Linked DNA regions of Oreochromis niloticus. Each later gene encodes a partner of the first gene's protein in a complex. Links are inferred from orthologs where the notes say so. Each region holds a gene or a part of one and is shown in the gene's direction. Other genes may lie near its edges. The genes, in order: med23, mediator of RNA polymerase II transcription subunit 13-like, med24 and med25.

Region 1 (7,853 bases):
GATCCATGGGGATCCCAACAAAGTCCCATTTGTTGAAAACCTTCGCCACCTCACTCCCTGTTTCCACCTGTCGTTTTCTAACTCTTTCTATTCCTCTTCGTCACTTGCTTGGCTGACAGAAACATTATCTAGCCTCAACCTAGCTCTCGCCACATACTCCTCTTCACTCAATCTTCTACCTCTCCCTGAAAGTAGAGGTACATCCAGTCCTCTTTCATGATTGACACTAAAGTCATCTAGCGTGATATCAGATTGGTCCGAGTGGGAGGCAGACATGTTTGGAATGTTCTGTGGGGCATAAGCAGACATTAAAGGCTCATTTTCACAGTTATTTCCTTCCTCCACACCTCTGTTTGCCACTCCCTCCCTATCTGTGCTCCAGATCACCTCTCCACACAGCTCTTCTCCCCTTTCTACTTCCTTGATTGTTTGCGGATTTAACCGAATGCTTAATAGTAAACTTCTTATCGCTCCATCCTCCTTTGATCTCTGAAAAGACTGTAAACCTGCAAACGACCGGCCCTGCAACTGCATGGGGGTTGGTCTGCATGTCCAAGTAGTGTTAGCCTGAGGCGCGTAAGCTCCACCAGAGTTAACGCTCTCAACTCTCCGGTCTCCATCATCTTGATTCCCTCCCCTTGCTTCCTCTTCTCCTTCAACAGTGATTTGAGGAGCCATGCTGATACCCCCGTAGTCAACAGACAAATCATCCAAGGGTTCCTCGGGCTCTAAGGGAGGCTCATGCCTTTGGGGGGAGTACCTGGGTGGGGGATCCACAACTTTTAGAGAGGCGAGGAGGTGTTTAGGGTCTAATATTGTGCAGTCTCCTGGTGGCTCAGGGCTGAGGCGGCTCACTAAGAGGAGGTTGGAATTCTCAGGAGGGAACACAAGAGGAAGCTTGTAAAAAGTAGATGCGTTCTGGAAATTGGAGGGGAAGGAAAAAGGTATGAAATGTTTGATAATCTGCCTTTGAAACACTGCTGAAACATATTATTTATGTGAATTTCAAACAATAGTCTCAGTTTGCAACTATAATTATGTCACTGGGTCCCTACAGTGAATTGTTAAATTCATATTTAACAAAAAAACAAAAAAAAACAAAACAAAAACACCACACCACCCACCCAATCTAACCTACATTAATTAAATTAAGTTCAGGTTAGGTATTGCATTGCCAGTATGTTTATATGCATTTCAATTACCAGTATATTTGGACTGCGCTGGTCTTTCCCAGACAGGTAGCGATGGAAAAGGTAGCCAGCTGCAATGATCATACCAATGCACAAAGCTGGAACAACAATACCCACAATCACACTTTGCAGCTGCTCAATCACAGGGTCTATAGAAGAAGAAGAAAAAAAAACAAAAAAAGAGGGTGAAGTCAGTAAAAATATTTATTCATCCAGCTTCTGATGACATTTTTGGGCTTGTCATTTGAAAAGAAAATAAATCTAAAATCTGAACCATTTCCTTGACCGACATATTTGGCTCACACAAGGAAGTACAATACACCTGCTGCACAAACACTAATTGCTCTTCAGCTTTGATAACACATTTATTGACATTCCTTTCTACATTACATCCGAATATTCTTATTTACAGACACGGTCACGCAATGGAGTTGTACCTTGAGATGTGGTTATGCAGAGCCATGCAGAGGACTGGCAGTGGATTGGCATCGTTGGGAATTTCGACTGTGCAGAAAAGCAGTATTCCATGTTGTACTTCATCAGCCGGTATTTGTACACGCTGCCAACAACTGGGAAATGGTGCTAAAAACCAACAAGTGGACAGATTAGGCAATGCTAGAGAGTGGGAAAGAATTTTGTAAAAAATTGCTGCAGAAAAACCAAAAAGTTTATGCTTTGTGGGTGTAGGTTAGTTTGTCGTCATAGCTAAGCAATTAAAAAAAAACTACCAAAAAAATGAAGGTGTAGTAGGTGACTCAGTGCTCTACAAGGAAGTTTTCAATGTAATGTCTAGCATGAATCTTTTTATTTGTGCCTGACAATCCTGTTTTTAAATGAAAGCAATTCAGGGCAGCAACGTCAGATAGAGATTATATCACCACGTCCTAGAATTTTAAAACTTTTCTTAGTATGGGCAGTCAATCTATAGTAGTCATATATATTTCTACTTGATTTATACCTACCGTGTGGTTCAGATGGGTGTTGTGAACAGAAAGGTTGTAAATCATTTCGGGGTAGAGTGTCGCCATGGAAAGCGCTGGGGTGTGGTTGTTTGATGGATACCTCATCGGTCCCTTTATAGTGATGATGGCACTGGTGTTTTCAATTTCCACAGAAAGCAGTGGGGGCCCCAAAGTAGCTACAAGGTTGGACAAACCTTTGTTGTTTAATGTGTAAACATGTTAAATATATTGTAATGCTTTTGTTTCTTTAACTTACTTTCTGTCTTTGGATTGAATCTTCTGGGTATGAAAGCCCATTTGGAAGACACTCCCCTCTCCACAGCACGAACTTTGGCATAGTAATCCTCATCCGCATCCCACATTTCACTGGTCAGATCACACCACGTCCGCACTATTTCTGTACAGTGCTGCACTGCCTTCCAGTTCACCCGTTTTCCCTTCTTACCTTGAATTCTGTCTCCATAGCTGGCAAAGACAAAGACCCACACACTCAGAGGTGAACTTTTGCACAGGTTGAGCAGAGTTTGCTTAAAGTCACAGTCAGTAAAGAAAATGAACTTAAACAAAGCAGACCGATTTTGAGATCTTGTTGCATTTTATTTCTTTTAGCCTTGCTGGAACTTTTTTTTTTTTGCCAATAAATCCCTTTGGGACTGCATCCAGGCTAGTTCTTGGGAACTATGAATTTTTATTTAAACTCTAAAACATTTACTCACATGGCATATTGCACTGTGTAGAGCGTTTCATCTGCATGATTGCCTTTTCCTGGAAACCACTGCAGCACGTTCCTCAGATTTACAGAAGAGAAGGTGACATTGATGGGGCTGGGGACAGGCTGGGAGACTGAGGGGAGCGAGACAAGAGGTGAGGTGCCTGTCATCAGAATATACACCAGCTTCTAGTTGTCCTGACTGACCTTTAAACTTCTCCTGTGTTTAATGGTACTATTAAACTAGTTGTCCACATATAACCGTAAGGTGTGAGCTGTCACTATGATTCACTGCCTTTCAGACTTTGTTCCACCTCACACAGTACACTCGGCTCCTTATAAATCATTTCAAGTAGGCAAACACCATAAAAGTGTTTGATCAAAGATTCTCTATGGGAAGATTATCCAGACTACATTTTCTGTTTGCAATTTGATCAAAGAATGCCTCTCATGCTTTGATCTCCCGGGTGAGAAACCCGAGTCTGTAAAGTGACTTTACACTTAAAGTAGAGCTCCATGCACTAATACATTTTGTGTGTTAACAAAACCACATGCGTTTATAGCTCGAACAGCCGCTTTCTGTACTTAAAGTGGACGAACTAAATTACAATGTGTTAATGCTTTTAGAAGTTCCCAGTTTCATTGCAGATTTCTTTAATGATCTCATCGTTGGCTACTGTTGTAGCATAAAAGTCAGTCCGCTTGAATTGAATAAACGCCATAAAACTAACCGCACAAAATGGAAACAGTGGAAACAAAGAAACACAGCATCCACAAAGTAACAACAAAGAAAACAGATATTAGCACTTAAATGCAGACCTACCTGTGGAGTGAAAGCTATAAAAAATGAAAAATGTGAATATAGCCAACATCTTTGTATGGAGTCGTCATGTTTTCACAAAAACAAAAAAGCAAATACTTCCAGTCCTCTCGGCAGGTTCCCCCCAGCTCCTCCTCATAGTACACCTGCTCGCAGTTCTCTCGATTAAAGGAAATTAAAACCACGCACTCAAGGTTAAAGTGAAAGAATGTAGCTAAAGTCGGAAGAGTTACATGAAACTGCCACCCAATGAAACCCCGTGGACTGCAGTTAAAGGAATCCCTGCGACCTGACAGGTTTCCGTGTTTCTTATGGGAGAAGGAATGTGACCTTACTCGTTTGTGAACAGTTCACCTGTCAGCCGCGCGCGCGGGCGTGGGCGTGTCCGCGTCCATTGAGGTAATAGGCTACAAAAATCTAAGCTTAAGTATAAGTACTTAGTAAACAATCAGATCCACTCCAATATGTGAGAAGAAAAATACATTATACGTGACTCATTTCCAAATAAATCCGTGAGCTGTGTTTAGTTTTGCTGTGGTGTGGCGTGTGGAGGCTGTTAAGTGGAAACAGGTACAGTTTCCTTAAGATGCTCCTGGGGTGTTTATCCGGATAGCAGCCTGGGTAATAAGGTGCACCATGTTATTTCCTTAGTCCCTTTCCCCCCAGCTAATATCCTCTCTCTCTCTAAATACACTGTCAAATGAGATTAGATATTAAAAATTAATATTGACCCTACTGAGTTAAACCTGGGTAACCCATTTGCAAAGAGAAAGCTGTTTTGTTTAAAGCGTAAACATTTACTCTTACTCTTCTTCATCACACCACAATTATTCCACCACGAACCTCACGAAAGCTATAAACAAAACATGGAAAAATCAATTAGCAAATATCGAGAAGAACAGCAGGTGCTCAAACATCGTCCATTGTGACATCTGGTGGCCACAGATCTGTCTTAGTGAAGGGACAGACTTTTGAATACAGATTTTAAACTCTCAAAAATGCGAGCGTTGTGAGAAATATTTGAAAAAAATAATATTATTAATGTGTAACTTTATTATTTGCAAATTACTGAGGTATGAGAATTACAATTTATAATAATAATTAAGCAAAGAAACAATGGAGCGGAACTGTTCCGCTTGTGTTTCCGTTGCATGCCCGGATTGTTTTTGCCATCGCGCTTCTCCTGCGGCGGCTTTCATTCTGCTTCCTTTTAGCATTTAGCTTGTTGGGGTTATCGACTGTGCTCCCGTAGAGGAGTGACGGGTTTGAATTCTGGGATGGTTCGTTGAATAATTGTCTTTTGGTTGCAAACATGGCGCTTTCGATGGAAACGCAGCTTCAGAGCATCTTTGAAGATGTTGTGGTAACTTGCATCTTTGTTGACTGAGTGGCAGCCAAGCTAACATTAGTTAGCATTTCAGATAACTGTAGTAGTATTTTCTATTTACTGAACTTACTTTGGTTTGCAAATATAACCAGATGGTGTTTTTACTATATGTCTCCAGCTCGCTAACATAAGAATTAACAGCTAAGGGTGCACCGTTAATATCACAAGTCTTCACTTACGTTAATGCGTTTTTATTTTCTCCTTTTTTTTCTTAGAAAACTGAGATGATAGAAGAGGCCTTTGCTGGGTAAGGCTGCTCTGAATTCATGTTAATAACCCCCGATATTTTGCAATTGCATTGTTATTAGCTTAGGTGTAATGTAGGGTGCCACAAACGATTATTTTGATAGTCGACTAGTCACCGATTATTTTTGCGATTAGTCGACTAATCAGATCATGCATCCATTGAACGTAAAACGTACAGTTTATTGCACTAGCACATGTCTGCTCTTATATAACTATCATTAGCTTACAGCTTGAAGTGTTTAAGGTGCTAACTAAAAATAAAGACAAGAGGATAGTTTATTAAATTTAAATGAAATTTGCAGATTGTTTCGGTGGAGTTTAATAAACGCAGCCGTCTGCTCCTTGCTATCTAAAATATAACAGGACACCGGAGTATATTCTCGAGCATCTCACACTTCTGATAATCAGTTGTCTGCTTGACGTTTATTCAGCTGTGTAAAAACTATAACTTTAATCTCAGCCAAACCGATTTACTCAGGAACAAATAAAATACTGAAAAAAGCCCAATAATATCATTTTTAAGTTATCTAAGTGACTTGTACATCATGTTTAACCTGAGTAGCGAAAGACGGCGGTGGGTTTGAAAACGATTTGCCGGGAGTCCGGTGTTCTCACCGGCTCTAGTGAGCCTTGAACCCCGGCTAGGTATCGAGCTAATGGGTAACAGACGTCTCCGAAAACGTCGGAGCGCTTTTGAAAATATGTGGTGTCTTGATAAACTGAGCAGATATTTGAAGTTTACACAGCTACATTCTCGCCTGAAAATATATTAAACGTTTATTTTGTGACCCAGAAAGAATAATAAGAGTAACATTAAAGCTAACTAGCTGCCGCCATTGTTGAAAACTGAGCAGGGCCGCGCTATGAATTCTGGGACACAGCTTCTTCTTCTTCGGGGTTTAACGGCAGCTGGCATCCTTGTACATGCAGTGCTGCCATCTTCTGTTTCAGTCCGTTATTACACTCTTAAATCCTACTACTTATTCCTGCGTCTTTTGGGATCTTACAAAGCTTCAAACGACGCGTTGACTATTAAATTAGTCGTCGACGATTTTGATAGTCGACATAATCGTGACTAGTCGACTAATCGTGGCAGCCCTAGTGTAATGTTAAGTTACTGCACACTGGTAGTGCTGCTGGATGTTATAGTTATAGTTATAGTTTTTACACAGCTGAATAAACGTCAAGCAGACAACTGATTATCAGAAGTGTTTTAGCAGTAAGACTCACAGGCCACTTTGTTAGGTGCTGGAAACATTTCTCAGAGATTTTGGTCCATATTGACATGACAGCATCACACAGTTGCGACACAGATTTGTCGGCTGCTCCATCCATGTCGTCAATCTCCTGTTTCACCACACCCCAAAGTTGTTCTGCTGGATTGACATCTGGTGACTGTGGAGATCATTTGAGTACGTTGAACTCATTGTCATGTTCAAGAAACTAGTTTGATGTAATTTGAATTTTAAGACATGCTGTGTTATCCTGCTTTGCCTCAGTTGCCTATTCTTAGCTTACATTGCCGGCATCCATTATGTTCCTCAGCCGCTGTAGTCCATCTGCCTCTGGGTTTAACATGTTGTGTTTAGAGAGGCTCTTCTGAATAGGGGGGTTGTGTTTATTGGAGTTGCTTTTTCGCTCCCATCACCTCGAAGCAATCTGGCCATTGTCCTATGACTTCAACAAGGCATTTTCCCCCTGAGAACTGCTGCTTGTTGCCTTTTTTTCTCTTTTCTGGACCATTCTCTGAAAACCTTAGAGATGTATATGTGGGGAAAGTCCCAGCAGATCATCAGTTTCTGAAATAATCAGATCAACCTGTTTAGCACCAACAACCATGCCATGTTCAAAGTCACTTAAATCACCTTTCTTCCCCATTCTGATGCTCAGCTTGAACTTAACTAGGTCTTCTTGACCATGTCCACATGCCTAAAGGCAGTTAGGTGATGTCGTGTGATCGATTGATTAGATAACTGTATTGAAAAGATGTGGCTAACAAGAGTGGCCGATGTGTGTATATTAAAATGTACGGAGCAAAATTAAATGCTAAAATTAAGAAGTGTGTTTTTAGGATGTTTATGGACACTCCAGAGGATGAGAGGACTAAGCTGATCAGTTGTCTTGGAGCCTTCAGACAGTACTGGGGAACCCTGCCACAGGTTTTTACACACACACACACACATGCACTCCCACTTGCTCACACTTACATGGCTGAGATTTTTCAGTTGCTCCAACGTCTTTCTGCAGGAGTCTCATGAACAGTGTGTGCAATGGATTGTGCGCTTTATACACAGTCAGCACAGCCCCAAGAGGATCTCCTTCCTCTACGACTGTCTGGCAATGGCTGTGGAGACCAGTCTATTACCACCCAGGTACACAGAGACATATAGTGTGAGATTATTTGACACCTAAAGAAGTAAAATGGGTTCAAAGAATGATTTATAATATTTCCATATATTAATTTATTATATTTAATTTATCTGTTTTATGACATCCCAATATAATCTGTTATTTGTCTATCTCATTAATCTTCGTGTCT
Region 2 (7,252 bases), on another chromosome or scaffold:
ACATTTGGAAAACACAGCAGTGTTTGTCCCTGAAAACTGATTTTCGCAATCACATTAAAGTAACGTCTTCATAATGTGTAAATCCATGGCTAGGAATGTCTCTAGTTCTGCCTTATCAAAAGCAATCAACTACATGTGCAAGCTGCATCACAACCTTAAAATAAATTTCCTGTGGGTGGTCAAACATGGCACGGTGGTGCAGTGATTAGCACTGTCGCCTCACAGCAAGAAGGTTGTGGGTTTTAATATACCGGCTGGCTGGCTGGGAAATTTGTGTGGAGAAAGCACGGATTGCTCTATTAGCCCAGCAACAGACTGGTGTCCTGCCCAGGGTGTACCGTGCCTCTCGCGCTATGACAGCTGGGGTGTCCACCACCACTATAACCTTAAATTGGATGAGCAGAAGAAAATAGTTTTATGGAGGCGGCCTAACAAGATGACAATTATTTGTGTTTTTTTATTATTCACACCCTTATGTGACCATTTTTTGGCCCTCATATTAGATAAATAGCCTAAATGTGTGCTACTCTTGATTATAAACTTGACTCTAAAATAACACAGTGGATGTGGATGTTATTTTTTGACATGTACCTAACCCACCCTGGCAAAGGCAGCCCCTTCTCCAAGTGTCAGCTGCCTCGGCAACGGAGCAGGGTGACCCAGCACGCCGTATAAACACTGCTCAGCACTGCCTCCAGGAACACAGCAAAAAGCACAAAGTACTGATTTGGACTCCAAAGATCCCGATCAGATCAAGTGACCATGAGATTTGCCAGAACAAACGCGATGCACAGATATCTCACCACCCAACGAATCCAAAGGCTCTGCTGCCCACATTCCCATGGGAGGTCCTGTGTCTGTGCCCACATGAGTCAGAGCTGTTTTGGTATCACAGGGGACAGGGCTGATTTCTGTGAACAACTTTTATTTGCTCCACAGCAGTTTCACAGTTACAGGAAATGTCTTTGTTTGACATTGTTCATGTGGTGCAAACCTTTTCAAGCGTATTAGTAACAGAAAAAAAAATCTTACTAATAAGGATGTTTTCCAACTTAAACTTTGGCTGTTATATCTCATCATAAATATTTCATATCACTGATAAATATTTACGAATTGCAACCACATTTTTTAGGAGCTTTAATAAAACTTGATGTCCTGCCTGATATAAAGCGTCCTTTTACATGTCAGGAGACACACTTCCTGAATAAAGCGCACGCGGATGCACGGCACAACTAAACAGATTGTCCGGACAAACATATTATCTTTAATCACAGCAGTAATGCTTCCTTTCTCCTCGGTCAGCAGGGGCCTGACAAAGGGGAAATGTGTGGCATATTGAAATAGATTTATTCAAACTGATAGCATCTCATCCTATCAGCTTCACACCAAGTGGGCCAAACTGTCTTCAAAGCCTTTAAGGGTGTATTGAACAAAAGAGGGGGGGAAAAGTGTCCAAATGAGTTCTGGATCATTCCTGGAGCAAAGGGATCAATAACCACCAGGCTAAGCTCCTCTCGCTCATCCATCTGATTCATATCTTGCCCCCTCCCTGCTTTTTTTCTTTTCTTTTTTTTTGCGCAGATATAAGAGGAATCACCAGACTAAAGGCTTCTGCTCTGTGGCAATATGTACCAGCTACTGGCTGTTTTCTCAAATACATAAAGCTGTACGTAGTGATTAATGTGAGAACTGAACCAATGTCAGGATGGACTAGATAAGTCAGCATATTGCGATCTTCACTGGAAACATAAGGCAACAAAGGGAATATACAGACATCCATAAATAGCTCTGTTAGATCTGGAATTAGAGGTAACGTCTCTTGTGTGGAAAGGATCTTCTGATTAGCCTGGAAGTGCCACTGAGCAACTGTTTACACACTTCAAATAAGGTTCAGATGGCTGCATATTTCCCAAAGCTGCAACCCAAGTTTGCATCACGTGTCCACCTGACAGTCATGGCTCACATGATTACATTAATCAAAACACTACATCAGTCAGTTATTGTTAGTATTATTACAAATACTGTCTTCATATTACTAATTTCTTTTTATATATATTATTCATATATGTCACTTTTTGAATGCATCTAATGATTCATACAAAGGCTGTGAGACACTGGTTGCCCTTCTCAGCTGCTTTTTCTCTAAAGATAACATCTCAGTTCAACAGAGGGAAAATAATACACGGGCAGGTGGTTTTGCGGTGTGTAAGCACTTAAAAATCATTATATGACTCCAAATGAAAAAGTCAGATCAGGTCAGTGTTCAATGACATATTTCATTTTTCTGAGGGCGGAGAGATGAAAAGCTTTTGGGCTAAATAAAGTAACTATTGAATCTTAAGGCCTCTAGGGGGATCCACATGCAAAGGTCTGCATATTCTTCTGTTTTGAGCAAGAGCAGCCCAGTTACTTCAGTGTAGTCAGAAAAGACATTCTCTTTTCAGATAAAAAGAGCATCAGGTTAGCATATCTAAGTAAACGCTGAGCAAGCTTAAAGACCGAAGCCAGTTAACTTTGATATCCAACCATAAAGAAAACCCAGACAAATATAATGTATGTACAGCATATGAGTCACTAACAGTAACACAAATATTTTATGTGCTGACTTCTGAATGGCCTCTGCAGTACAAGGAAAGAGTGTCTGCATAATAATGCTTTGTTCTTAAGCCTCAATGGAGACTGCTTGACACAGGACCCGAACCGCATGTTTATGGATGGAGTTTACAAAATCTCTAACAGTACACTTGTAATATAAATATAACTTGTGTACACTGCATTGACAGAATAATAATCAGTACATATTATTATAATGCGCTTCCACTGTATAGATTAAATCAAGCAAAATTGGAATATTTCCAGGCAATGTCATGTCTCTGGTATTCTCCCTGGAAACTTACCGGACTTACTGTTTTTAAATTTGAAATTAAAACTTAACAACAAGCTACACGTTAAAAGATATTTCCTAGTTCTTAATTTTCTCGCTTTTCACATTGTTTATTTGATCATTTTCATGCTAAAACAATAACAACACATATTACAAAGAAAACAGTGTTCAGTGACAGCATTTGCTAAGTGTATATACAACAGTTGATCTTGAGAGGAAACCAACAAATCTCTATTCAAACCTGCATTTATCAAATGTGTGGCCTTTATGTTTTGGAATATGTAAAGCTGTAAGCAAATTACAGAGGTACTTTCACTTTTAATGCTGTTTTAATGTATAGTAAAAGCTTTAGCAAACTATTGCCCAGTTACCAAAGCCTGAATGGGGCCGTATCAGCAGGCTACTATTATCTCCCAATATTAGCTATTTGTTGATCAATCATTAATAACACCCGATAGATAAAAATGTAAAATGCAAAGAGACGAAAGAAACACCCTTCAGCATAGTTTCATCACCAGGTGAATAACTTAATAACTAACTGGAATTCGGTATCTTAATTTAAAAAAAAATGTGCTTGACTGTTTTCTTTTTTTGTAAAACTGTACATTTGAAAATTCATTGATGACAGCAACAATTATATTTTAGCATTAAAAATATATTCAAAATGCATTTCAGCATTTTTAAATGTTTTTAAAAATAAATATTTAACTTTATTGACACCGTACACTAAAACAATAGTTGGGGCTTGGGGCTAGGGTGGGGTTCATGGTGGGGCTAGGGTGGGGTTCATGGTGGACTTGACTCATGATAACCGGTGTATCTTTTAAATCTTAGCTGCGGCCCTGAATACAACCACTCTAAATAACTCCCAATCTTTGGTTTGAGTCATATTGAGTATTTTTATTTTTTCGCGTGAGAAAAGCCTCAGAAATGTTTTCAGATAATATGTGATGCACATGCTGAGTGTAAGACTAACCTACATAGATATCTCTTATGAAACACAGTGTGCTCAGTAAGTCATTCTGACCTCTATTCTGTCACATCCTCTGTTGTGAGAGCACAGATACATTATGTAACCAATGCATCACAGAATGACACCGTGCAGTGATAAAAAATAAAAAAATATAATAAATAAAATAATAACCCTTCACTGCGCGTTTCAGGCAGAACAAAAGATCACAGAAACAAAGCGCACATGGCAACAATAAAGGAATCTCGGCGACTGTCGCGTCCGCCTCTAATATCAAATACACTCAACTACTGTAATCCTGGACTTTGATCACGTGAGTACAAACTTGGCCAAATGGAAAAGGCGAGTCTCGGGTAGTACGCTTCCGACCGCCATTACATTACAATGCGCGGTGGGCTGGACGATCGTGCGCGAAGAAACGCCACAGCGCTCGGCGTAAAACAAACAGACACGGAGGGTGAGAGTGACACATTCGGGCTGCGCGCACGCATACACTTCCATAGCTGCATAATAACGCCATCTGAGAGATAAACAATGAGGAAGGAGTCGCCGCCGAGGAAACCAAACACGCCTTTGAGGATTTAATTCAATAGCGAAAGAGAAACAGGAGGATGCGCTTTTAAATGCCGAGGTGGTGCTTTATGAGACATTTCAAATATATTTATATCTGCAGCATGCAACATATTCTTTATGTCAGCAACGGGCGCCAGACAAGGACGGCCACTTCTGCTTGAACTGTGCGTTTTTAAAGAAATCCTACCTGATATATGTATTTTTTTTTTCTGGTGTGCAAGACTGAGGCTGTTGTGGTCGCGAGAGGACGTTTCGTAATGATATAAAGCTGAAAGGAAGGAAGGATTTTTTCAAACCTCCGTCTGCACAGACGCCTGTTTGTCGTTTTCCTGCTGGTGGAGTGAGCCCTGTAAGAATAGTTTTTTTCTTGTCTCAACGCTTTGACTCATGATTCAGGCTAACTGAGGAACCCGCTCGACTTTGTCCGTCCTGCCGCGGAGGTGCACTTGGTTGGTTGGTTGGTGTGTGTTTGTGTGTGTGTGGAGGGGGAAGCTTTTTCTTTTTTAGAGACCTCTCCGTCTGCGCTCCCGTTTAATTCAAGAGCAACAGAGGGATTAAACATTCCTGCCCGCACCACCCGTTTGTGTGTGTGTGTGTTTGTGAGAGACACGCACACTGGGGTTACATTATTGTGAGAGGAACGGTTGTGACAAGAAAGACGGCTATAAATAGCACACGCGATTCTCGAAAACTATCACAAGTGGTGCATCAGCTTGTGGAAACGGAATCAGATATCCTGCGTGCTCCTCAACTTGATTGTTTCGCACTGCAGCGATTATATTTCAAGAAGTTTTGACTCTTTAATTTTTTTTGTTTGTTTTAGGAGGAGGAGAGGAGAGGAGGTAGGCTGTTCCCAGAGCGAGGAAGAAAAGGGAGTCGTCGTCCCCCCCCCCTACAAATGGATTACGGTCATTTAATGATGAAACTATCCGCGGAGAGACTGATTTGGAAACAGGCGGATCTTCCTCGGGATTGAAATGGATACATTTGTGCGCTCTCCGGCTGTTGACAGTGATCAGATTTGGAATCGCCCGACCTGGATTGTAACAATGTTGTGATCCCCCGCTCACGCTTGGATATATCAACACTACAACACAGGCATTTTTTTTATTTTATTTTTATTTTTTTAATGCATTCTGCACTTCTTTTTGAATACGCCCATCAGACCACTCCGAGCCTATTATCCGGACCTCTTGTGAGGTTATAAGCCTGCTTGTTTTGTTTTTTTTATTTAATTTTTTTTTTTATATATATATTATTATTTTTTATTTTTTTATTTTTTGGGGGCAGACTCGTGAGGGAACCGATTTGTCAGCCCCTGCTCGGTGTTTGATAACCGATGTAGGATTTCGACATGCCCTGCGCTGACGACCCCAAAGGCGGACCATTATGACTACATCGGCGAATTGGGTGGCTAACGGGGCAAGCCTTGAGGACTGCCACTCCAACATCTTCTCTCTGGTACGGTATTAATAAATCACGTTCGTCACAGACACGCGAGGCGGTTGTGATGGACAAGTCATAAGACAGTGGGGAGGCATGCTTTAATGTGTGCCTGCTGTACAAAGGTGAACCAATCGGTGATGTTGTTATTAGGCAATCATTAACACGGGTTAGTGATTCGGAATAAACAGCATATTTCATCACTATATGCCTGATATCATAAAAGGAGGGTTTAACGAGAATAAATCAACTTTGCTATCACATTTTCAAACCAAACCAAATCTCGTGACGCTTTAAAATGCAGGGTTCAAATGCTACCACAACTGACTGGCCAATTATTTGTGTGTTTGCATGAATCTGGCAAGTAAACAATAGATAAACAGTCATTTCTTTTCTCCCTATGAAGAGCACAGTGGCCATTATCCTCCACCCCCTTTAAATAATCATTTCACTGGAAATCTTGCAGGAACTCTAATGCATTGCCAAGCAACTAACTTGGAAAGGAGCCCTGCTGCTGCCACTGTCAGATATCTCTACAGCCAGAGACTAAAGAAAAAAAACAAAAACAAATAAAAAAACCCCCCAAAACTCTGATTTTCAGAAAATAATAGTTTTATGCATGGCGCTGCTAGAAAAAAATGCTACCTAGCTCATAACTTGGAAATAGAAGAAGATCTGAGAATGAGAATTAGTGGAATAATTGTCTCACAGGAGATTTTTTTTTTTTTTAAAAAAGCAAGAGAGATCTTGACAGGCAGCATCATGTATTAGGCACACAACGGAAGCAGCACTTTCGCACTGAAAACAAGGTGTTTTTGACTCTCCAGGCAGCAGCATTTTTGCAGAGGGTGGAAGGGAACTGAGCGGCGGTGCTTTCACAGTTTTTCATCCTGCAATCAGCGAGTTAACTGTCTTACTACAACAGGCAGCCAAGTGGAAAGGCATGCAGTAGACTGAGCTCAGGCGCAGGCTGCCGCTGAGAACCACAACAACATATGGGTCCTGGGGGGCTTTAGGTGATCATGCAGGTTGTCGACCTGCAACAGCAGTTGGGCCCCTGTTACACTACATACAGAAGTTATAGAGGCACATGTCACAAAGTATGGTCATGATTTAAAAACCACGACACAAAACAGGAGATAGGGGAAGAATAGACTTTGTAGTTAGCACAGAAAGTCAAAATGAATCATCACTTCTTCTTTCTTGTGTACTTGAGTAATATTGGTGTCTGTAACTGGAACAAACGGGGGAATCTCGAGCTATTTGAGACGCTTGTTTGGATTGCAGTCGCACAGAAACACGGGCATTACGCTAGAAGTCTTAAATTTTCTCAGCCTGACAGAAAAGAAAACATCGATTGCCTCTCTGTCACCGTGTCATTC
Region 3 (6,953 bases), on another chromosome or scaffold:
GCAAGTGCCATACCTAACTACAGTCTAAAATTATTGTTTAAAATATTGAAATTTAACATTTTTGCTATCTACAGGTATCTTGTTAGTGCTACAGTCATCAGTTGCATGTTGTAGTTCCAAGTTGTTTTTTTTTCTTAAAGCGTGGGATATTTTACTGATATTTTGTGCTCTTTGTCTGTTCTATAAATGCTGTAATACAAACACTAGAAATGGCAAAATTTTGAAATTCTCTATTATGTCAAATGAGAAGTTTATTGTTTTCTTTTAGCAAAGTTATTCTCCTCAACTTCTCTATGCACACCAATACGACAATTCTAATATGGGTTAAAACCACTCAACACATTTAGGCTTTTAGACATGGTCAAGGCAGCCTGATGAAGTCTAAACTCAGGATCAGAATGAAGAGGAAAAGTGATTTTGGAGGTGGCATGGTTGTTGGTGCCAGACGGGCTTGTTTCAAAAACTGCTCATTTGCTTGGATTTTCCCACACAACCATCTGTAGGGCTCACAGAAAATGGAATGAAAAGAGAAAATATCAAGAGAGCAAAATTTCTCTGGTTGAAAATGTCTTATTTATGTCAGAGATCAGAGGATGGGCAGACTGGATGGCAATAGCAACTCAAACAATCACTTGTTAAATCCAAGGTTTGCAGAACAGCACCTCTTGTACAGCAACCTGAATCTTGAAGCAGATGGGCTACAGAGGCACTCCTGTCAGCTAAAAACAGGAAACTGAGGCTAAAAAAACTGGACAATGATTGGAAAAACATTGCCTAGTCTAATGAGTTTCCATTTCTGCAGCAACATTCAAATTCTAGACTCAGAATTTGACATAAACAGCATGAAAGCGTGAATCCCTCCTGCCTTGTGTCAATGATTTAGTCTGGAGGTAATATAATGGTGTGGGGAATACTTTTACTTTTACCAACAAAGCGTCACTTAAGACACCACCAGAGTGTTGTTCCTGACCATGTTGGTCCATTTATGACCACAGTGTACCCATCTTCTGATGGCTGCTTGCTTCCAGCAGGATAACACACCATGTCACAAAGCTCAGATAATCTCAAACTGCTTTCTTGAGCATCACAATGAGTTCACTGTCCTCAAATGGACTCCACAGTCACCAGATCTCAGTATAACATAGCATGAAGCTCTCATGTCAGTATGGACCAAAATCCCCGAGGAATGTTCACCTTGTTAAATCTATGCCATGAAGAATTAAGGCAGTTCTGGAGGCAAAGTGGTTTCAACCCACAACTAACAAGGTGTAACTAATGAAGTGGAAGGTGAGTGTTTAGTGCATATTAATTTGTTATAGTGTTATTTACTGCAACTGTGCTTTCCCTATGTACATTGTTTGCATTACAAGAGTGGGTCAGCAAATTTAGAAAGCCTCCCCATACACGTTATTCCCAAAGTCGGTTGCCATGGCTTTAACAGCTTTAACCAGATGTTCATGTCTCTCACTTTATTGTTCACCTATGTTAAAGTTGCTGTTTCTACATCACCCTCCAGAAAGACTTTCATTTTGAGTTCAAACCTGAGAGAAAGAAGCTGTATGCAACATTAAATGTACTGACACATTATGTGCCTTACCTTCTCTTGGTTACAGTAGTTGCCTCTAGTCTATCCTGATTCATGAAGCAACATCACTGGACAACCTGAGGGGACAGGAGAGGGCCACTCTCATTTCCTGGTTCTGAACCCTTGGTAATTATCTTGGTGTGCCCAGAGGCCCCAGGAGAGAATGAATGACAGTAATGTTGTGTTTTTTAAAAAAAAACAGAATAGAGAAGTATAACAGATATAAAGATCTAATAGAAACACATGCTATGAAATATCACATTTATTTAGTTCTGCTCTTTCATAGGGATCATTATCTCCTGCCTCTCTGTGCACCCCATACAGGTGGATGATTATGGGTTATTAAGCAATTGGCCCTAATGGATTTAATAAATTGATTACACAAAACACAACGCAACACATAATCCACATAGTTTCATTGTTAATTGCTGGTGTTTGGAGATAGTAGCTTGTGTTTATCTCATTATTATGTAGCTGAAAGGTATTGGTGGTGTTGAGAGAATTAAAAAAAATTAGTTTGAAGAAATAATAAGCATCTGAAAATAATACTTCTAAAAACTATGGGCCATTTTCAAAATTAGATAAGTTGTCAATACAGGGTTCTTTCATAGTGAAAGTATCTACATCCAGGTAATCCTGAGAGACTTTGAGCACCACAAACTAAAAACTAGTGAGTCCCGTTATAATGGGATTACTCAATAGCTTACATAGAAGAAAAATAAGAGTCAGCAAAACTGGGTCTGTCCCGGCAGTGAAGTCATGAGAACAGACACAGAGCTGTGACTTCAGTCTCTCCGGTCTCCCCAGGGGTAGACTCAGATCTCTCAGTACCCTCCACTAATGCAGCTCTCCACTATGTAGAAGGCAAAGGGGATAAGATCACTCTGCCCAAATTCACCGCTGCACACACACACACCTCAACTTCATAATCTCTCCAACCCTCACCTACCAAGACAACGCCAGGACGCATGGATCATCTCTTGCTGGCTGGCACAGGGCCGTCCCAGGACACAGACTTCGCTCTATCAGGACACCGTCTCCAGTGTCAGGCAGAATGAGGGTCTTTGTAGTCATAAACTCAATACAGGATATTCCCTAACAGAAGTAGTTGGGTGGTTTTGATATAGAGAACAGTATCCCTTTTAGCAAGAAACACAACTGAGTTCAAAAGTTAAAAGGAGAAAGAGAAACTCCTGCCTGAGTAGAATTTTTTTAAATACCAGTGCCACTTTCAGCATTGTTCTGAATATATTTTCTTCTTGAGCATGTGCTTTGTGAATAAACAGATTTGTTTATTTATTTAAATCTAAATAAAGGAGCCATTTCCACATTTCCACATAGTTTATTTCACCCCTGTTTCTTTCAGGTTTTATAAGAGTGTGAACTGTTGTAAAGACACATGTCCTGTTTTGCTTTTTTTCCACCTCAACATTCTGACATAATAAACAAAATCCTGCTGAAAGGGACTGGACTGGCACACACAAAAGAGCTACACCGAGGTAGTGAATCACACAGCTGAATGAGGTGGTTATGTAAGACAACAATGCATTTCACTGTATGCATGGATGAAATAATCAAAGAAAATAAATTCAACTTAGTTATATCAGGTATAACTTATGTCATCACTTTACAGCTAACAGTACAAGAAAAATTAGGTTAATGTGGAAACAAATGACACCAGTTGTTATTAAGTTAAGCGTCTGTTTAGTTTGTATACATATATATATATATATATATATATATATATATATATATATATATATATAGATAAGTGTATTAGAAAGACTTGTTCTAAAAACTAAAACTTCTAAAAATACCTAAAGTAAAAGCACTTACATAAGGATTCATTTCAGAATATCACCAATTCAATATTGTGTAAACAAGTTTAATATGGTAGTTGTAGCTAGTTTTAATTGGTCTTCATACTGCTGAGTAATCTAAACCTAGCTAAAATCTCCGATAAATAAGGTGGTGTATAGAGTCCTGTATTTGCCTCCAAAATTTAAAGGAGTAGAAACAAAAAGTTGCATAACACAAAAATACTAAGTCATGCCTCTGCAAGAACTATACTTTCCTTCATTTTCACTAACAAACAAAACAACACTGCAAACGGCTAACAAGACATCACAGGTGTCACGCTAAAATAGCTGTTTATATTAGAAAATTATTCAGTTCTTTGGTTTCATGTTTTACCCTTAACTGGAAGGCACAACAACAGTTTTGCTGCCTTCATTTCCTTATGTATGGAAAAGGTATAAATTCTAAGGTCGAGCTTTGATTCTTACCTTTGTAAACAGCGACATCTGCTGCTAGTCGAGCGGAGCTCTGCCGGTATTCCCCTTCAACCAATCCGCGCGAAGAATACTGAAACGTCAGGAGGTTAACCAATGAACGGGTACGTCTTTCAAAACAAAAACGTCGATTCTTGCGTTGTGAAGCTGGGGTCCTATAAACAAATGTATTTTAGCGTAAGCTTCTAAAAACTCAAAGCGTCAGGTAGGTATCAGATTTAGCACCCTTTTGTAGACTCGTTTTGGTGTTAATTTATTGTGAAAACTGTTTGTTTTCGGCATCAGACAGGAGAAGTTTTCTTTAACTATTTCATTAGCAAATAGCATAAGCTAACGTAGCTAGGGAATAGTGTAAAATAAGCTTGAGTGTTACAGCGTAAAAACGAACAGTGACTGAATTGTGGCCATTTTTATTGATGTTTTTTCCTCCGCCAGGATGAAGATGGTCAATTTGAAGCAAGCCATTCTGCAGGCTTGGAAAGATCGTTGGAGTGATTACCAGTGGGCCATCAACATCAAGAAAAACTTCCCAAAGGGAGCTACATGGGACTATCTCAACCTTGCAGGTTGGTAGTAGTCTGTTTAAGTATACCGGTTCTTGTGTTTTCTAAAGTTGCTCTAACTGTTCCTTGTATATAATTCAGAGGCGTTGATGGAGCAGGCGATGATTGGACCATCCCCTAACCCACTCATCTTGTCTTATCTCAAATATGCCATAAGTTCACAGGTGAGATAAAGCACTGTTGTATTTTAAAAAAGCAAATGAAAACGTGTGAAACTGAGAAGATTCTCTAACCTTGTTGGTTGTTTTGCATGTTGCGATTTGTCTCCTCTCTTGCCATAGATGGTGTCTTATTCCAGTGTGCTTATGGCTATCAGCAAGGTAGTTTTCTGCATGACAATACTCAATGCAAAATTATTTTTACTGTAAGAAAATGTTAATGATCTTAATACTTGTCTTTTCTGTGACAGTTTGATGATTTTTCCCGGGAGCTCTGCGTCAAGTCACTGTTAGAAATAATGGACATGTTCTGCCATCGCCTTAGGTATGTTAAGTGTTTCTAATGTATCTGCATTAATCTAATTCACGTCTTTTAAAATTCTGATTGATGCAGAAATGTTTTATTAGAACCAAGGTATGCAGAAGAGCATCTCTAAATGCACAACACATCAAACAACACAACAAACCATGAAGCGGATGAGATCCAGCCCTGTACTAGCAAGGTGTACCTAATAAAGGGACCAGTGAGTGTGCATCTTGCTTAAAATGTCACTGCTTCTTGTCTCTTATTGATCCAGCTGTCACGGAAAAGCAGAGGAATGCATCGGGCTTTGTCGGGCTCTGCTGGCAGTGGTAGTGTGGCTGGTGCAGGGCTGTGCGTGGTACTGTGAGAAGCTCAGAGAACTGGGTCCATCAGCCAGCACAGAGACCAGTCTTGGAGCCTGCCAGGAAAGGCTCCAGAGTTTGATGAACAGCACCAAGAACAGAGCTTTAGTCCACATTGCCCGATTGGAGGACCAAGGTATATAAGTGTGTGTGGGTATTTGTTTACACATAGGGTTGTGCTCAGTGAAGTCTGGCTGAGATCTGCTGATGTATCAGTACGTCTATATAGTGTGTAAATTACCTGAGGCTCTATTAACATGCTCTCAAAGTTTGTTGGCAGTTTATTTGCCTTTTAATATTAAGTCATTCTAAGGCAAACACCTGCATATGCATGGGATCTGGCAATTGTTGAAATTATTGCCATTCAGCCATAGTGATACAAAAATGTCACTTAAGCTAAAACTGTCATTTTTGGCCAAATCTTTAAAGTGTGTTTTTGTGCCGATCGTGGCATCTAAACAGTGTTTCTGCTGCTGCTTTTTCTCCAACAGGTTCCTGGAGCAATGTAGAGCAAGCTGTGCTTAATTTGATAGATGGTCTTAGTAGTGTGAGTAACTCAACGCTGCTTACTAAATTAGAGGAGAGCTTGTCACTAGTAAAAAGGTGAGGCTGACACATTAATACAGAGCAAATGATCCTCCTAAGCTTTAATTTGACAATAGTTTCAAGCCTCCCATCTGACTTCTTTGTGCCGATTTCTCCACTCTCTTCTTCAGTATTCCCATGATGCTGTCTGAGCAGAGTGACCCTCCAGTTCATGCCTCCTTTCCATCAGTTCATGCCTTCATCATGCTGGAAGGGACTATGAATTTGACAGGAGAGATACAGCCGCTGGTGGAGCAGTTAATGATGATCAAACGAATGCAGGTGAACATTAAGCTGTGAAAAAAATCAAACAGTAAAAATTTAGACTGACAGATTTTATAGGACAAAGGAATTTCATTACACACAGAAAAGAAACATTTCAGCTTTTGGCCAAAATATTACACAGCCTTTCCTGGTGAGGTTTTGTGTGATGTAAATGGAGTGTTTCTGTTCCCATCAGCGAATTCCTGCTCCCCTTTTTGTCCTGGAGATATGGAAAGCTTGCTTCACTGGCCTCATTGAGTCACCAGAGGGCACAGAAGAGCTTAAATGGACTGCCTTTACGTTCCTTAAGGTAAGCTCTACTTCAAAGAAGAAAACTTGGTCCTCTGTTGTCTTTTTCTCTGCCTTTTGCTGCCTTTACTTGCTGTTTATATCATTAACTGCTTCCTTGACTCTGTTTGTTGTGGATTTTTAGTTTAGAGAAGGAATAGTGTGCCAAATTTTGTGCAGTGATTTTATAAATCTCCCCTCTGAGCTGTCTGCATGAAACTAATTTGGTAGTAATATTACTGTCTACACTCCACAGAAATCAGATGAAATTAACTTGTGATTTCTTCATCTCAGATCCCGCAAGTTCTACTCCGACTAAAGAAATATCCTCAGAGTGACAAAGGACAGGTAAAGTAAATGCCTGACTGATCTTTGTATTGTAAGTTAACACCCAGATATTGAGCGCTGCGTGTGTAATGTCATAAACTGTCTTTGTCACTTTCAAATGTGCAAACGTTGCATTTCCCAGGATTTCATGGAGGATGTGAACATAGCATTTCAGTATTTACTTAAGCTTACGCCACTCCTGGACAAAGCAGATCAGCGATGCAAG
Region 4 (7,357 bases), on another chromosome or scaffold:
TTGCCGCATGCATGGCTTTAAATGATGAATGCTCAGGAAGTTCTGTACAAGATTAGAAACTGAGGTAAAATCCATAATTAAACTTTATTTTATTACTTTTCATTGCTGGTCCATGATTTCACAGAAAAAGGTAATTTTCTATGAAGATTTTTAAAAAATACTATCAGATCTAATACTCTGTGCAGGGGTGTGTCCAGAGGAGGTCATGGGACGGAGCTGTCTAACCATAATATAACTGAATTAATTATCTTTGAACTAATGACACAAATACAATTTTAATGCATTCATTTAAATATATCTATGTTACTCCACTTTCTGCTTCCAACTCACTATATGTTGGATCCAAATATTGTACTTTGTTCTCCATGTCATTTATTTTAAAGCTTTTAGATATGATTTTAAAACATAAATTTAAATTTTGCCTTTTTTATATGTTTTTGTTTTATTTTTTGTTTTTTTAATATCTTTTTTATAGTTTAAAGTGATTTACACATTAATGAATAATTGTGATCTAACAATATAATGCCTGTGCTTCTGGAAAGGCCCCTTCCCTTTACTTCAGGTATCTTATTTATTGCTAAAACTTTTCATACTAATACTAAGTCAGATTTTGACATTGCTACTTCACCACTTTGCAAAATAGTTATCCAATGCTGAACAATTTTCAGGCTCTTGTGCAGCACAATTTTTTATGTATTACATTGTTTCAGGTTGCACACAAGCCTACAAATCACACCCAAGGTTTTCAACACAAATTTTTCTACATTGGATTTATTTCTGATCAAATATTACGATTTCCTGTTGGCTGCTTTTCTTTCACATTCCTGGAAACGCCTCTGGTAACCTATTTGTCTGGTAACCTATTTGTGTGGATGCCACTGTATCAGCATGCTGGCTGTGATTACCTGTTGTGAGGCGACCATCTGGCCCTCAGCATCCCAGCTGGGTACCAATGTCAGGAGATGGATTGTCTTTACCACACCACCTGGACCTTGCAGACATAGATAGCTACGGCACCAACTATATTTCTGATTCATATTGTATTATGTAATTCTCTGACCAAACAAGGAACATAAGAGGAAAAAAAAAAGAAAACACTGTCTGGTCTTCCAAAGGCATACACAGAAAGCAGGCCTTCTGTAATTGCTTGGCAACTGCTGGCATTGTGTGAGTTGAAGTTCAAAGCAGCGAGACACACTGTATATTCCTCTAAGCGGCAGAAAGCATCAGAGTTGCAAAGTAAAGGGATGCCTACGCAGGCACATTCACACACACACACACACACACACACGAACATTCACCATCCATTCTGTCAGTTTAATTTGGCCATGATGCTCATTCAAAATAAAAAAGCTCTGTGGGGGAGCTAATGTTTGCATCCAGGGGGTAGCCTTGGGCATAAACCCTCCCTCAGATGAACTTTCTTTAGGTCGCCTGAAGCGTTCTTGCTTACTGACGCCCAAATGGAAAAGCTGCTTGAGCCCACAGCTTGTTGCCCTCCTTAGAATTTAGGTTAAATTGATGTGGAGCATTGTTTCTGTGGGAGGGTTTGAGCTTGATTAGCTCTGAAGCGCTTTGCTGAATGCTGTGCTAAGCTGACTGACTGGCTGGCATTACCACAGGGAAGGGGATGCTATTGTTGGACCCACAGAAGCAGCATGCCGATGTGTTACAACTACAGGTTAGCCTCTGGTGTATTGTGCTGATCTGACAGCAGTTAATGTGCCGATAGCTGCTGTGGTAATTATATTCTTGTTTCCAGCACTGAGGTTGCAAGGGGAATGAGAAAGCCTTTTTATAGAACAATGAAGTTATGAAACCATGAAATCCAGAAAAAAGCAACAACTAGGTTAAGCATGTCAAGCCTAAAAATCACAGGTCATGCTTTGTGGTGAAGATGTTTTTCTCAGTACCATGGATTTTGTCTTGGTAGCTTTTCCTATATGTAACTTACTCTAGACACATAGCTACTATAGATAAACAGTCTGACACTAAATTAAAGGAACTTTAGGTTAAAATCTGTAGCCTGCTCTCTGATAAGACCATCATCAGTTCATCATCGCTAGATATTTGCTGACATCTGCTGGAGGTCTGGATCAAAAGCACTTGGATATCTCCAGCGTTCGTCCTCAGAACCCTGTTCGAAACACAAAAGAGAAGATAGTCTGTTTTTTGTTTTTTTGTTTTTTGCTGTGGCAACACTCAAAGATTTCAATTTCTGTCTTTTCAGTACTGAGCACAAGTTTGTATTAAGCAAATTAACATGTGATTCCTGTCCTTTGCACTTCGAGGGATTTCATCTGAATGCACCTGCCATTGTTGTCTGTAATAGTCAACTGTCTGGATTTTTAAAGTCTAGATTTTTAAAGTGTAGATTTCAGTTTTACCCTTGAGGAAAGCCCTCTGGCTGCCTCAGGTTGGTCATTAGATAGATTTAAGGAAAGATAACTGGAGCCCTTCCTCATCACTCAGGCTACTGGCAAAGCACTGAAAAGCAAAGATGAGGTTTAGAAGTCTGAGCCAAGACAATATTCACTGATGACCCTGCACCTCCATGCTTCATTATGTGGAGCAATATATATTGAGGGCATTTCATTTTCAGTAATTGCTTACAAGTAGCCAGATAGCAGAGACGTCTGGGCCTGCTCTGGGCACTTACACATCAGTTATGGCAATGGCAAATGTTTATGGGCCAGACATGGTCTAAAAAGTCATGAAGTGGGTTCCACCAAGTTAAGCGTGGGCTGGAAGTGACCCAAACACTTAGTCATACCTTTGGAAGCGAGAAAATACCAACACTGTGAATGAAGAATTAATGGCTTGACTGTTTTTTGTTTTGTTTCTTTTGTTATTGTTTTGATGTTGTTGTTGTTTTTATTCAAAATAGAACTAGATGAATTTAGCATTTAGGAAAACACCTGGACAGATCATGCTCTTAAATGTTATTGTGACATTATTTACATGCATGTTGCCTCCTCAACACTTTACGGTTTAGTCTCTGTGTTTCCTACTTCTTTTCATTTTATATATAATTCATCATCCAGTGCATATTACTCTGCATACTAGATCAGGTGACCTCTAACCATCCTTTATTCATGCTGCTATAGGCTCAGACTGCTGGGGAATTTCTGTTTATATGTCACAACTCCATGTTACCAAAACTTTGTCTTCTGTCCCTTTTTGTTTTTTATCCTCATCTCTCCACGCTCCCCTTCCCCACTGTCACCACGTTCTTGGTCATAGGGGATCATCTGAATGTTGGGATTCTCTCTGTCTAATATTGTGTTCACCTTGCAATAGAACGCACCTTGAGCTGACTGTTGTTGAATTGGTGCTATTTAAATAAAATAAACTCAAAATGAATTGGATATAATCAGGGTCTTGGCCTTCAGTAAGCCTAAGAAGACAACAAATAAATTCTCTTCTTATCAGTTATAGAAGAAACAAGGTAACTGGACTTCTTTAAGCTTGCAAAGACCCGTATTTACATGTGCCACTGAATTTAATCTGCTGTTCAATAAATGAATATCTGAAATGCTTGGATTGTATTTGTTGTCGTGGCTGTAGCTGTATTTTCTATTGCATGGTATACGTTTGCAAAAGCACTTGTTTAGGTACATATCTGCTATTTGGGACCAGACAAAAACATCTTTGACTGATGAGGACCAAAGCTATTAGTTTTGCATTTTCTAATTAGATTTCATTTTTATTTCATTTTTATTTTGAGTTTTAAGCTCAGTTTAGTGAACTGGCAATACTTTGGTTTAGTTTTTTAATGTCTGAAAATGTTTAGATTTAGTTTAGTTTTCATTACTATCAGGCGTTGGTTTTATTCTTTGTAAGGGGTATTAATGTGAATTGTTACTTTTTGTGAAACCGATATTGAAACAGTGGTTCATTTATTCTGGTATTGCTGGTTTACGAAACATCTCTGGAGCATACTTTCACGTTTTGTTTCTGATCATGGTAACCCTAATTTTTCATTATCCTGGAAGAACGTTTTGCTTGGTTACAGTGATATTGACAGTGTATTCACTCATCCAAGTTCTCCAGTCGTAAGCCAAATTTCACTGGATTACTTTTGATAATAAAGCATTACATTTTCTCAGTAATGGACAGCGAGAATTGAAAATACCTTAAAACCGTGTCATCGTCTTAAAGACTTTAATATACTTCTATAATTTTGTGTGTTAGAACGGCTTGAAAACCCTGGTATTTTGTGTTTATGGTAATTCCCAAGTTGTATCGTTTTCGTTTATTTTCCTTGTACTCCTTTCGGTGTTCTTGACAACCTGATGTATGCCATGTTCCGCTTTGTTGTTATTAATAAAGTTTTTTGGGTTTTTTTAGATTCTTGGCCTCTCGTGGGCGTGTCGTTTCGTCACTTCCGTCAAAAATACAACAAATGCTCAGGCTAACTGTGCTGTGTAGTTCAAGTTAATTTTTAAAGTTATAGTTTGGTCCAACCGGTTCAGCGGTTCGTCGGACAGCCACAGTCCATCAGGTCAGTCTACATCACTTAACAGCTTGATAAAGGCTTGTTAATTGGGGCTATTTGAACTATATTAGCTTAAATCGCTCACTGACGTTTGCTGTGCTAGCTAACGCTAAAACGAAAGCTGTGCGCACTTCAGCTGTTGTTGACTTCGTTAGCTTGCGTTTTACCTCCCCTTGGCGATAATGTCGATTAGCAATATTAATTATGGATTAATGATTAGCGATTTGAGTACCAGCTAGGTTTTAGGTCCTACCTTTAAAACTGGAGCGCACAGCTATCGCAGCAAACATCTGGTATTTTATCACCGGTTTAAAAAAAAAAAAAAGAAAGGAAAAAAAGAAAATATATTTCTCGCAAGTGTGCTACATTGAAAAACACAAGTGCTGTTTTTGTTTTTCTTTGAGAAAGAATAGAAAACTGTTACACCTTCACAGAGGTGAAGTCACATGCTTCCATCGTACTGTAGCTGCTGGATGTCCGTGAAATCACTATCTTACATTGGAGTGTTTCAGCTCAGAGTGATTTACTTGTGTATCTGACAAAACAGAAACGCAAAAAAGCAAATAACATAGATAATCGAGCTCGAATTAAGGTAAGAGATCAAACAGGAAATTAAACAAGGTAACGCTAAAGATGGTATCCCAAAAAGTTGAAGCTGTTCATATGGACTTTGCGTTTTCAGTTGGAGAAACGTTTCGTCACTCAACCAAGTGAGTTCTTCAATCTCAGTTGACTGCAGGTTATAAACAGTGCATTTGCATAATGACTAAAACTAACACCACTGGTGACTATTGGTTTGTGGGGTCAGTACTGTACTGTTTAATCCATGGGTAGCTTCAGATACTTACTCAATAGCTGGAAGCATGCATATATATATAAAAAAAAAAAAAAAAAACACCCAGCACGCCCCTGCGGGCGGTTTATCCTTCAAGCTCGGGTCCTCTACCAGAGGCCTGGGAGCTTGAGGGTCCTGCGCAGTATCTTAGCTGTTCCCAGGACTGCGCTCTTCTGGACAGAGATCTCCGATGTTGTTCCCGGGATCTGCTGGAGCCACTCGCCTAGCTTGGGAGTCACCGCACCTAGTGCTCCGATTACCACGGGGACCACCGTCACCTTCACCCTCCACATCCTCTTGAGCTCTTCTCTGAGCCCTTGGTATTTCTCCAGCTTCTCGTGTTCCTTCTTCCTGATATTGCTGTCATTCGGAACCGCTACATCGATCACTACAGCCGTCTTCTTCTGTTTGTCTACCACCACTATGTCCGGTTGGTTAGCCACCACCATTTTGTCCGTCTGCATCTGGAAGTCCCACAGGATCTTAGCTCGGTCATTCTCCACCACCCTTGGGGGCATCTCCCATTTTGACCTCGGGACTTCCAGGTTATACTCGGCACAGATGTTCCTGTACACTATGCCGGCCACTTGGTTATGGCGCTCCATGTATGCCTTGCCTGCTAGCATCTTGCACCCTGCTGTTATGTGCTGGATTGTCTCTGGGGCATCTTTACACAGCCTGCACCTGGGGTCTTGCGTTTTCAGATATATGTCCAGATGAACAGAATCAATTTTGGGGGATTTACTTACCTGGATGATTGAGCATGCATCAAGACACTAAAGATAGTAGTTCGGACAATATTAAAAAAATTAAAATGTAATGTTTTCTAAATGAATATATATGAAATGTGAAGTGAATTTACATGTTTTTGCTTTTGTTTAGTTTGAAAGGAAAATAAACAAGCACAACTTTGTTGACGCTGTTGTCCTGACTTTTGAATAGGGGTTTGAATTGTAGCCCAATGTGTCTGTCTTCTCACTGTGCTCCAGAGTATACATACGGATCATAATAGATGCCATAAATACCACAAGGGCCTTTCATCCAAGTTTTAACAAAAGTGATTTTTAGAATTGTTTTGTCATTTTCAATGTCAATTATATTATGAATTATATTTGTTGAATCAAGATTCAAGAGTATCAGAAATGCATTAAAATAGAAAGGTAGGTGAGAGGCTTAGAGTTACATGTACCAAATCCTGCTAATGCTGGTGTTGAAGAAATGAGTCAGACTAAATTTATTTTATGTCTTTTAACCAAGAAATGTTTTTCACACCTAATTTTGGTTGTTATTGTAGTTTTTTTTTTTTTTTTTAAACTATGATAACTTTCTCCTCTGTATCTAGATCTATGGTGGCAGGTTCGGCACTCATGGAGCCATCCAGTAAACCTGGGCCCAACCAGGTGGCTGATGTGGTGTTTGTCATTGAAGGGACAGCGAACCTTGGACCATACTTTGAATCTTTAAGAAAAAATTACATACTTCCAGCTATTGAGTAAGTATCTAAAGCTACCCATTGTTTCCTAAATCATTAATGTCATGTAGCTATGAATTAATTTTATTTCATTCACCACAGGTATTTTAATGGAGGGCCTCCAGCAGAAACAGATTTTGGTGGAGATGTGAGTGTTACTCTAATTCCTGTTTTCTAGCTTTTTAACTGCTTATCCAACTTAAGGTTGGGTTGGGGGGGGCTAAAACCTTTCCCAGCTGACATAGGGCAAGAGGCAAGGTACACTGTAGACAGTCTAATCTCTGTTTTTAATGCTTTAGCTTGCATTCCCTGTCACTGTTTGCTGAAATTCAGATATCTTTTTTGAATTCTGTGGATGATTTATTATTACTATTTTATGTTTTCTAGTACGGGGGCACACAGTATGGCCTTGTGGTCTTCAACACAGTGGACTGTGCTCCGGAGTCATATGTCCAGTGTCACGCGCCAACCAGCTCAGCCTTCGAATTTGTCTCCTGGATCGACAACATCCAGTAAAAATTATTTCCCTATTACACCTTTTAAACTGCCCCTT

What was found.
Region 2: med23 (region 1) and mediator of RNA polymerase II transcription subunit 13-like share a complex: the UniProt entries of both Homo sapiens proteins name them as parts of the mediator complex. The link is inferred for Oreochromis niloticus from reciprocal best matches to the Homo sapiens genes MED23 and MED13L.
Region 3: the proteins of med23 (region 1) and med24 are in contact, whole or in part, in a cryo-EM structure (PDB 7EMF), measured with the Homo sapiens proteins. The link is inferred for Oreochromis niloticus from reciprocal best matches to the Homo sapiens genes MED23 and MED24. Residues at the interface, in NP_004821.2 of Homo sapiens: Asn150, Thr151, Val152, Ser153, Ser154, Glu193, Gly194, Leu196, Pro197, Trp199, Leu201, Gly202, Asn203, Ser206, Asp207, Asp210, Arg213, Tyr258, Asp259, Lys260, Phe263, Ser1133, Arg1139, Ser1176, Glu1180, Glu1182, Trp1183, Val1184, Tyr1186, Arg1189; in NP_055630.2 of Homo sapiens: Lys238, Thr239, Leu280, Leu283, Lys287, Val291, Glu295, Cys336, Glu339, Phe340, Lys343, Leu344, Thr345, Pro346, Leu347, Asp349, Lys350, Gln353, Lys384, Glu720, Lys721, Trp723, Thr756, Arg757, Lys758, Glu759, His760, Met802, Asp803, Pro804.
Region 4: med23 (region 1) and med25 share a complex: the UniProt entries of both Homo sapiens proteins name them as parts of the mediator complex. The link is inferred for Oreochromis niloticus from reciprocal best matches to the Homo sapiens genes MED23 and MED25.

What each region holds. Positions count from the first base shown.
Region 1 is NC_031980.2:6,316,214-6,324,066, forward strand, and holds the start of med23 (mediator of RNA polymerase II transcription subunit 23), read left to right. Parts: upstream 1-4,841; 5' UTR 4,842-4,993; coding exon 4,994-5,044; intron 5,045-5,283; coding exon 5,284-5,315; intron 5,316-7,385; coding exon 7,386-7,473; intron 7,474-7,561; coding exon 7,562-7,686; intron 7,687-7,853. Other genes in the region: il20ra (interleukin-20 receptor subunit alpha), read right to left, coding at 88-918, 1,203-1,339, 1,628-1,772, 2,153-2,328, 2,409-2,617, 2,869-2,995, 3,685-3,733. UniProt on the Homo sapiens protein: Required for transcriptional activation subsequent to the assembly of the pre-initiation complex. Component of the Mediator complex, a coactivator involved in the regulated transcription of nearly all RNA polymerase II-dependent genes.
Region 2 is NC_031972.2:20,820,863-20,828,114, forward strand, and holds the start of mediator of RNA polymerase II transcription subunit 13-like, read left to right. Parts: upstream 1-4,239; 5' UTR 4,240-5,816; coding exon 5,817-5,888; intron 5,889-7,252. UniProt on the Homo sapiens protein: Component of the Mediator complex, a coactivator involved in the regulated transcription of nearly all RNA polymerase II-dependent genes.
Region 3 is NC_031973.2:19,694,385-19,701,337, forward strand, and holds the start of med24 (mediator of RNA polymerase II transcription subunit 24), read left to right. Parts: upstream 1-3,950; 5' UTR 3,951-4,081; intron 4,082-4,311; 5' UTR 4,312-4,312; coding exon 4,313-4,442; intron 4,443-4,520; coding exon 4,521-4,603; intron 4,604-4,720; coding exon 4,721-4,759; intron 4,760-4,848; coding exon 4,849-4,922; intron 4,923-5,175; coding exon 5,176-5,399; intron 5,400-5,754; coding exon 5,755-5,866; intron 5,867-5,979; coding exon 5,980-6,130; intron 6,131-6,308; coding exon 6,309-6,422; intron 6,423-6,694; coding exon 6,695-6,748; intron 6,749-6,869; coding exon 6,870-6,952; intron 6,953-6,953. UniProt on the Homo sapiens protein: Component of the Mediator complex, a coactivator involved in the regulated transcription of nearly all RNA polymerase II-dependent genes.
Region 4 is NC_031969.2:29,553,635-29,560,991, forward strand, and holds the start of med25 (mediator of RNA polymerase II transcription subunit 25), read left to right. Parts: upstream 1-4,346; 5' UTR 4,347-4,504; intron 4,505-4,952; exon of another isoform or gene 4,953-5,090; intron 5,091-6,675; 5' UTR 6,676-6,679; coding exon 6,680-6,825; intron 6,826-6,906; coding exon 6,907-6,952; intron 6,953-7,191; coding exon 7,192-7,316; intron 7,317-7,357. UniProt on the Homo sapiens protein: Component of the Mediator complex, a coactivator involved in the regulated transcription of nearly all RNA polymerase II-dependent genes.